Macaca mulatta: one gene and its partner. The protein of the gene in region 2 purifies or fractionates together with the protein of the main gene of each other region. This does not show direct contact. Links are inferred from orthologs where the notes say so. Each region holds a gene or a part of one and is shown on either strand. Other genes may lie near its edges. The genes, in order: PPP2CB and ANKLE2.

Region 1 (4,378 bases), on a different chromosome or scaffold from region 2:
GCAACTCCATCAATGGGGGAAGAGAACAAAGATGAATGAATTTCACTAACAAATTCATGTTTTGTGGGTGAGTACAAATATTCAAAGAAAAAAAAAAAGGGCTGGGAGTGATGGCTCACTCCTGCAATCCCTGTACTTTGGAAGGCCAAGGCGGGAGGATCGCTTGAGCCTGGGAGTTCAAGGCCAGTTTGGGCAACATGGTGAGACCCCATACAAAAAAATATTATCCCGGTGTGGTGACACATGCCTGTGGTCCCAGCTACTTGAGAGGCTGAAGTGGGAAGGTCCCTTGGGCCCCAGAGGTCGAGGCTGCAGTGAGCAGTGACTGCCCCATTGCACTCCAGCCTGACTGATACACCAAGACTGCATCTTAAAAAGAAAAAAAAAAAGCTAGTAAGATACAAGAGATAATCTTAAATATACCTGTGAAGTCCTAGGAACTGTTAGTTTGATTTATTTAGGAGCCGAAGTAAAAATAATCTCTCTCGACAAATACAGAAAGCTTCCTCAAGTGATCGTTGACACTCCGGTGTGATTATTTCAAAGTACAGCAGTGGTACGATATTCTTCTCTAGGAGTTCACCTTAAAATTATTAGAAAGTCAATGGGGACTGTGCACGAGGCTCGTGCCTGTAATCCCAGCACTTTGGGAGGCTGAGGGATCACTTGAGGTCAGGAGTTCTAGACCAGCCTGGCCAACAAAGCGAAACCCCATCTCTACTAAAAATACAAAAATTAGCAGTGCATGGCAGCGTGTACCTGTAATCCCAGTTACTCGGGAAGCTGAGGCAGGAGGATCCCTTGAACCCAGGAGGTGGAGGTTGCAGTGAGCAGAGATGGCACTACTGCACTCCAGTCTGGGCTACAGAGTGAGACTCTGTCTCAAAACAAAAATAAAACAAAAAAAAGAGTCAATGGAAAAAACTGATTCAACTAACACTTTGCCCTTAACTTCAAGTCTGTATTCTGATGCTCATAGTCAGGTTAACTGACTCAGCTCATTTCAAACCTGTACATTTCACTTGGCATTAGAGCTTGAGAGAGATGTTTAAAGCATACATTTTAAGCCTCATGAAATTACAGGTTATCACAATAAAAATGAACGTCGACTGAAGTCACAAGTAAGCAGTTTGTTTCAGAAAGAGAAAAGTACCACCTGCTTGGCACTTCTATATACAAAAATAAATCCTCCTGTGTTAACAGTTACTTAATACACAAAGGCCCCAGCCAACATTACACCCGTTAAAAATACTATTTTAACTTAACACCATCTATTAGTGCTCCTTTCCTAAGTAAATTTCATGATTTTAAGAGTGTCCTAAAATTAGACTAACAAAATCTTTTCTTCACCTACTTCTGCGACGTCATGACTTCCAAACATTATGGTTAAGAAAATTGTATACATCTTAAAATAACATCGTTACTTCTTCATGGACTTCAAGTGAGAATTTTTAACATAAAAATACATGAAAATTATTTAGTCCACCTTGTAAAGGATGAATTTGGAAAACTCTAGACTTTAAAGATGGAGAGATCGAAATAATTCCAGGAGTTAAGAAAACAATGGATACAGAATTCAGAAAGTGAAGATCACACACGATGTACAAGAACGAAATTGATCACCTGCATGTTTTATTATTCTTTGGAAAAGAAAAAAACTTTATATATTAAAAACAAAAACTTTCTGCAAAGTGTTATCGTGCATGAAAACACACATCCCATTTATTTCCAGCAAACACTGTTCCCAAACTTAAGACCAGCTCTCGTTTCTGAATCAACGCTTTACTTCCAAGAGCCACTCAACGCAAAGACCAGTCACCATCTGTTTCCACCAAAGTCAACCTCTATTTTAAAAATCACAGTTGGCCATCACGCCTACCTCTCCACAAACAAACGCTTGACACATTCAAGAGTCAGTGATTTTTTTTTTTTTTTTTTTTTTTTTTTGAGACAAGGTCTCGCTCTGTCGCCCAGGCTGGAGTGCAGTGACGCGATCTCGGCTCACTGCAGCCAGCCTCCACCTCCTGGGCTCAAGCGATCCTCCCACCTCAGCCTCCTGAATAGTTGAGATTACAGGCACCCGCCCTCACGCCCTGCTAATTTAAAAAAAAAAAATTTTGTGGAGACGGGGCCTCACTGGTCTCTAACTTCTGCGCTCCAGGCTGGTCTTTAACTCCTGGGCTCAAGCAATCCTCCCGCTTCGGCCTCCCGAGTAGCTGTGACCACAGGCGTGAGCCACCGCGCCCGGCTTGAGTTAGTGATTTCTGAGGTGCCCCGTTCACCTGACAAAAATTCTACATTTATTAACAAGTTCATTAATAGGCACGACATTCTGGTTAATTTTAGGTGCATTTTCAGAAACTGGTCTGAAAATGGTCCTTTTCGGATGTCGCTTTCGTTATTCCACTCGGGAAATGCCAGAGTGGCAGGAACTCCAGTGGAGCGCAGGCGACCCCGACCAACCTCCGGCTTGGCTCCAGGGGCTATGGTTCCCCGCCCGCCCGCCCGCACTCGAGCCTCCCACCACCAGGATCTGGGCCGGGGGCGTGGGGCGTGTACCACGCGGAGGCAGAGGGGCCGGGCGAGGGCAGCCCAACGCCCCGGGGCCGGAACGGCTGGGCCGGCCGCCCGGGTAGACGCCGGAGCCGGACCCACAGCCCCGCGGGCCCCCGGTGGGCCGCGCCGGGCCAGGGGCCAGCGTGCGGACGGGCCGGGGCGGGCAGGAAAGCTGCGGCCCGTCCCAGTTCCGCGCTCCCGCACTCGCCCCCGCGGCGCCCTCACCTTCTCGCACAGCGTCCGCACTTGGTTCTCGTTCAGCTGCTTACACTCGTTCAGCTGCTCGACCCACTGGTCCAGCTCCTTGGTAAACGCCTTGTCGTCCATGGCGGCCCGATCCCGATGCGGATCCCGACCCCCGGCCCGGCCGCTGCCCTCCCCCCTCCCCACCCGCCCCCGGCCCCGGCCCGGGCGCCGCTCCCCTCTCCCTCAGCCGCCGTCGCCAGATCCCACAAGGGGAGGACCGAGCCGGGGAGGGCGGCCGCGGTCCCCGCGCCCCGCCCAAGCCCAGCAGGCGGCTCCGAGCGCGAGGCCTGTAGGAGACCCCCGCCCGCCCTTCCCCGCCCGGCCGCGCGCCGCAGGAGTCGGTGAAGGACGCGGGGAGGTGCTGGGAGGGCGGCGCGGGCCCTCGGACTAGCTCTCGCCGGACGAAGGCCGCCAGCTACCGCTTCAGGCCCGCCTCACGCCTGCCGGCCTCTCCCGGGTATCTTTCCCCTTCTCTCGCTCTTTCTCTTCCCTCCCTCCGGGTTTCCGTCATCGCTCGGGCATTTCCGCCGGGAAAAGGCGAGCAGGCGGCGGCGCCGCCGGGACACGGCGCGCTAGGGGCAGAACGGCGCCCTCGCGTGGCTTGGCGGAGAAACGGTCGGAGGAGGCCAGGATCCCTCCTGTCCCAACCCTGCCCCAGACCAAGCTCTGCTGGTTCTCCCTTTAGATATCCTGATCTCCGGGAACTTTGTCCTCACTTTAGCTTCCTGCAGTGCTTTTTCAGCGCTCGGAACAGGGAATTGGAAAACTTGGGCTTCCCTTAACATTGTCTCCCCAGAGTCTAGCACTCAATAGTAGGCATTCAATAATGGTGGAGTAAATTAATTATTTCCAGGCTTGCCTGTAGCCCTAACATCTTGAATCCTCCCTTTCAACATTAGAAAAGTGAAATGATTGCTCTGTAGGATAATCTGTGGCCCTTCTAGCTCCAGCGCTCTTGGCTGTGTTTTCTGCAATGTGTACTGAGTTGTAATGATTTGTTCATTCAACAAATATTTATTGAGTGAGACACAGCAGGGACCCCTCTTAGGGGCCTTCTAGGCACTCCCACCCCCACCCTCCCCAAGCATGGAAATAAAGGAAAACCTTGAGTTCCCCGAAGGGACATTCCAGGCACCTAACTTCCTCAATAAGTCAATGAGCAACCTGATAAGCAAGAAGGTAATAATAGCTTAAGACAGTAGCCAAGGACGTTAGATTCACAAAATGTTTGCTTCCCTATATAAACTGGAGACAACATATGTCCCTGAGTTGTTTTTCAGAAACCTGGACCTCACCAAATGGAAAATGGTGTCCACTATCATGGAGATCTCAAACTACCTATCTTTGTTCTAAATTTCTTCCTGAGGAGCCTGGAAGAATTCACAAAGCTTTGCCTCCTTAGCCAATTACAAATCAGAAAATCTTTGAATCCACTTATGACCTGTGGGTCCCTACTTCAGATATCCTGGCTTTTTAGATCAAACCCACGTATAGCCTCCATGTATTGATTTATGACTTTGCCTGTAACATCTGCCTCCCTGCCTTTAAAAACCCTTACCTGTGCTGGGTGCAAGGG
Region 2 (4,273 bases):
TGGAGTGCAATGGCACGATCTCTGCTCACTGCAACCTCCACCTCCCGGGTTCAAGCAATTCTCCTGCCTCAGCCTTCCGAGTAGCTGCGACTACAGGCACCTGCCACCGCCCAGCTAATTTTTTGTATTTTTAGTAGAGACTGCCTCACCACATTGGCCAGGCTGATCTTGAACTCCTGACCTCGTGTTCCACCTGCCTCGGCCTCCCAAAGTGCTGGGATTACAGGCGTGAGACATGGCACCCAGCCGAGTATGCAACTTTTGAGATTGGCTTTTCCTAGTCAGCATAATGCCCTTGAGATCCACCTACGTGGCAGAGTGGACTGCTGCGGAGTGGCACCCTGGGGTATCAATGTTTAAGTTTAACCATCCACCTCTAGAGGGACATTTGAGTTATTTCAGTTTCTGGCAATTACAAATAAAGTTGCTATGAACATCAAATACGGGTTTTTGTGTGAAAATCGTTTTCATTTCTCTAATAAAAGCTCAGGAATGCAGAGCAGATTTAACTTCCTAAAAACCTTCCAGGCTGATTCCCAGAGTAGCTGCACCACTTACCATCCCCACTCGCAATGCACGAGACCCAGTTTCTCTAAATCTCTGTTGACTTGTGGTAATATCAGTATTTTTTTATTTCAGCCCCTCTCAAAACACCACCCCCAGCCACCTTGTCCACAGCTCTGCTTGGATGATGCTGGTGGTGACGGTAACAGAGCACTCAGAGGTGCTTAACACATACCAAGTGCTGCACTTACCCAACTCCCAAAAAATCTTAACTAGGTACTACTATAATCCCTATTCCTAAATGAGCAGGCTGAAGACAGGTTAAGCCCACAGCAATAAGTGGTAGGGCCGGGCGCGATGGCTCACACCTGTAATCCCAGCTACTCGGGAGGCTGAGGAAGGAGAATGGTGTGAACCCGGGAGACGGAGGTTGCAGTGAGCCCAGATCACGCCACTGTACTCCAGCCTGGGCGACAGAGCGAGACTCCGTCTCAAAAAACAAACAACAACAGCAACAAAAATAGAAAAATTAGCCGGGCTTGTTGGTATTCACGTTTAATCCCAGCTACTCGGGAGGCTGAGGCAGGAAAATCGCTTGAACCAGGGAGGCGGAGCTTCCAGTGAGCCGAGATCCTGCCACTGCACTCCAGCCTGGGCGACAGAGCAAGACTTCATTTCAAAAAAAAAAAAAAAGAAAGTGGGTAGGGCCAGGACACAAACTCACACAATCCGACAGGAATCCCCACTCAATCATTAGAAAGCACCGCTTCTCAGTGACTAACAGTCTGACAATCTAGAGTAAAAACAAACTCAGTTTCTCCCACTAGACTCTCGCAACATGCTTCAGACGCCAGATATGTGGGGGTTTTCTCGCCACGAATCACGCAGGTCATCAGTTCTGCAGTGGACACAGGCTGGGTGTCGTCTGTGCAGTTCCATCCTAACTCAGTCATCTATTCTGACAGCATCTTCCTGGACATACCAGCAGACCCCACAGGTTAAGGGCTCAGCCCCACAAGACTGTCCCCCACTTCCAGTGCCCAGGTTGTTTGACCTGCGCTTCGGACCGACTGGGTGTAACCGGGTAACCTCCTCAGGTTGTGTTAATTTGCTAGAGCGGCTCCCGAACTCAGAGCCATGTTTTACTTACATTTACCAGCATAGGATAAAGATTACAAAGAATACAGGTGAAGAGATGCGTGAGGTAAAACCGGGGGGGAAGGCTTGGAAATTCAAGGCCTCTCTGGGCACCGCCTCCAGGAATCCCCACGTACTATCCGGAAGCTCCCTCAACCCAGCCCTTTTGGGTTTTTACAGAAACTTCATTTCACAGGCATTGGTGATCAGCTCAACCTTCAGCCCTCTCCCCTCCCCGGAGGTTGCGGGTGGGGCTGAAAGTCCCCAGAACCTCTAACTCAGCCTTGGTCTTTCCTGCGACCAGTCCCATCCAGAAGCTCCCTAAGGGCTGCCGGCCACCAGTCCACTCAGCCTACAAAAGACTTCACATTGGAGGTCCCCGGGATTTCAGGAGTTGTATGCCATGAAAAGCGGATGGAGGTGAAACACACAGTTCACAGTATCAGTTACCTCAAACTTAAAATGACCAAAACCCACCTCCGCTCTCCACATCACCCAGACCCGACAGTCTACCCCAAAGCAATAAATGGACACCTTCTCCCGTTTCCTCCCGCCCCAAACCCCTAAGTCACATAGGCCTTTTCCGTCTCTGCCTCCTGTTCAATGACCAGTAACCGCAGGGGTTTCACATTCCAAACACATCCGGGACCCAGGGCTTCCTACCCGCGCCGCCCCCCCTTGGGCCATCCCTCCCCAGGTCTCCATCGACCGCAGCAAGGTTCTCCGCTAACGCCTCGCCGGGCTCCCGCCGCCTTCCCCGGAGGCCGCTCCCGAGCCCAGAAAGCTCTCATCCCCGAACCCGGCGTGGCCCCTGCCGCCCCCGCCCCGGGAAGCCGCGTTCCCCGCAACTGCCCTTTCCGCGGCCGGAATGGCCTTTCTCGAGCGGCCCTGGGAGAAAAGAATGGCCTTCTCCCGGCGGCCTCGCCCAACTGCTGCCGGCACCGGGAGCTCGAGGGGCGCGGCCCGGGACGGGGTCCCGGGGAGGGCGTCGGGGCGGGGAAGGGACCGGGATGCAGGGGCCCAGCGACCGCCTGGGCCTTACCTGGGGCGGGGGCGGCGGCCGCGGGCGGCGGAGGGCCTGGGGTCCCACTGCGGCCCAGACCCCCAGGCCGCGGGCCCAGCCGCCGCACCAGCCACCGCACAGCGATCAGCAGCACCGACGCGCCCAGCAGCTCCCAAGCCAGCGCCGCCCACTCGGCCGCCGCCAGCCGCGGCCACAGCATCGCCGCAGCCCGGGCCGCAGCCGCCTAGGAGCCCGCACCCTGCGCCGCGCCCGCTCCAGGACCCCGCGCCGGGCTGCCCGCGCCCTGCCTGACGGCGCCACGCTAGAGGCGGCCGGGGTGGCGCGGGGGACACGGGCGGCGGCCCCGCTCACGAAGGTCCGGCGAGGGCGCCGCGGTGGCCCCGGCCCTGCACCCCAAGCGGGCGGGGACGGGCGAGCGGACGGGCGGGCGCGGCAGGCGGGGCGCGGGCAGCCCGGCGCGGGGTCCTGGGAACTGCGCGGCGCGGAGAGGGTAATGTGTGGGCGGGGGCCGGGGCGGGGCTTGTTTACTGCCTCCCGGGCCCGGGCCTCCGCGGGGCGCTGCGCCTCTTCGAGAACTAAGCGGGCTCTGCCGGGTTCGTGAGCTCCGGACCCCAGGACCGTTTGCGGCCGCCGCCCCGTCCTGGAGCTGGAGTGAGGAGGCGCTTCTCACTTTCCTGCGAACCCGCAGAACGGGCGGCCGGCGCTGGGGAGGCCCCCGGAGCTTCCCGCTTCTTCACCAAGCGACCCTGACGCGCAGTCGAAAGCTTGGATTTTGCCGGGCGCGGCGGCTGCGTCCGGAGTCCCAGCGCCTTGGGAGGCGAGGCGGGAGGATCCCCTCGGCCCAGGAGTTCGAGACCAGCCTGGGCAAATATTTTGAAAGTCATGGTAAAAGCCTCAGTTACTTTTGCACCAACCTAATTGGGAGACCCTGTCCCGAAAAAGGGAGGAGGATTTTCCTGTATACAATTTAGATTTTTTTTTTTTTTTTTTTTTTTGATGCGGAGTCTTGCTCTGTCGCCCAGGCTAGAGTGTAATGGCACGATCTCTGCTCACTGCAGCCTCCGTCTCCTGTGCTCAAGCGATTCTCCTGCCTTTCCTCCCAAGTAGCTGGGATTACAGGCGCCCGCCACCCCGCCCGGCTAATTTTTGCATGTTTAGTAGAGACGGGGGTTTCATCATGTTGGCCAGGCTGGTCTCGAACTCCTGACGTCAAGTGATTGGCCTCCCAAAGTGCTGGGATTACAGGCGTGAGCCACCGCACCCAGCCTACTTTAGATATTACGAAATGAAAATGAAAGACCTGAAAAATACAATTGATATCCTTGGTTAAAAACATAATTGATCTGAGCGAGGTGGCTCAGGTCTGTAGTTCTAGCAACTCTGGAGGGTGAGGGGCGAGGGTAGTTTCAGTTCGGGAGTTCGAGGCTGCAGTGAGCGTGATCTCGCCTGTGAATAGCCACTGCATGCCAGCCTGACCGACATAGCAAGACCCCATCTCTTAAAAAATATCATTGGATGGTACTAATGGTTGGTTGGGCACTACAGAATAAAGGGTCAGTACATTTGAAGATGGGTGAAATGGAAATTTAAACCACGATGAGATGCTGC

Evidence for each region.
Region 1: the proteins of ANKLE2 (region 2) and PPP2CB purify together in Homo sapiens (affinity purification with mass spectrometry; 4 studies listed by BioGRID and IntAct, counting the BioPlex papers as one, with this or other methods). This does not show direct contact. The link is inferred for Macaca mulatta from reciprocal best matches to the Homo sapiens genes ANKLE2 and PPP2CB.

What each region holds. Positions count from the first base shown.
Region 1 is NC_133413.1:32,598,345-32,602,722, forward strand, and holds the start of PPP2CB (serine/threonine-protein phosphatase 2A catalytic subunit beta isoform), read right to left. Parts: upstream 2,888-4,378; 5' UTR 2,884-2,887; coding exon 2,782-2,883; intron 1-2,781.
Region 2 is NC_133416.1:140,135,333-140,139,605, forward strand, and holds the start of ANKLE2 (ankyrin repeat and LEM domain-containing protein 2), read right to left. Parts: upstream 2,899-4,273; 5' UTR 2,865-2,898; coding exon 2,684-2,864; intron 1-2,683. UniProt on the Homo sapiens protein: Involved in mitotic nuclear envelope reassembly by promoting dephosphorylation of BAF/BANF1 during mitotic exit.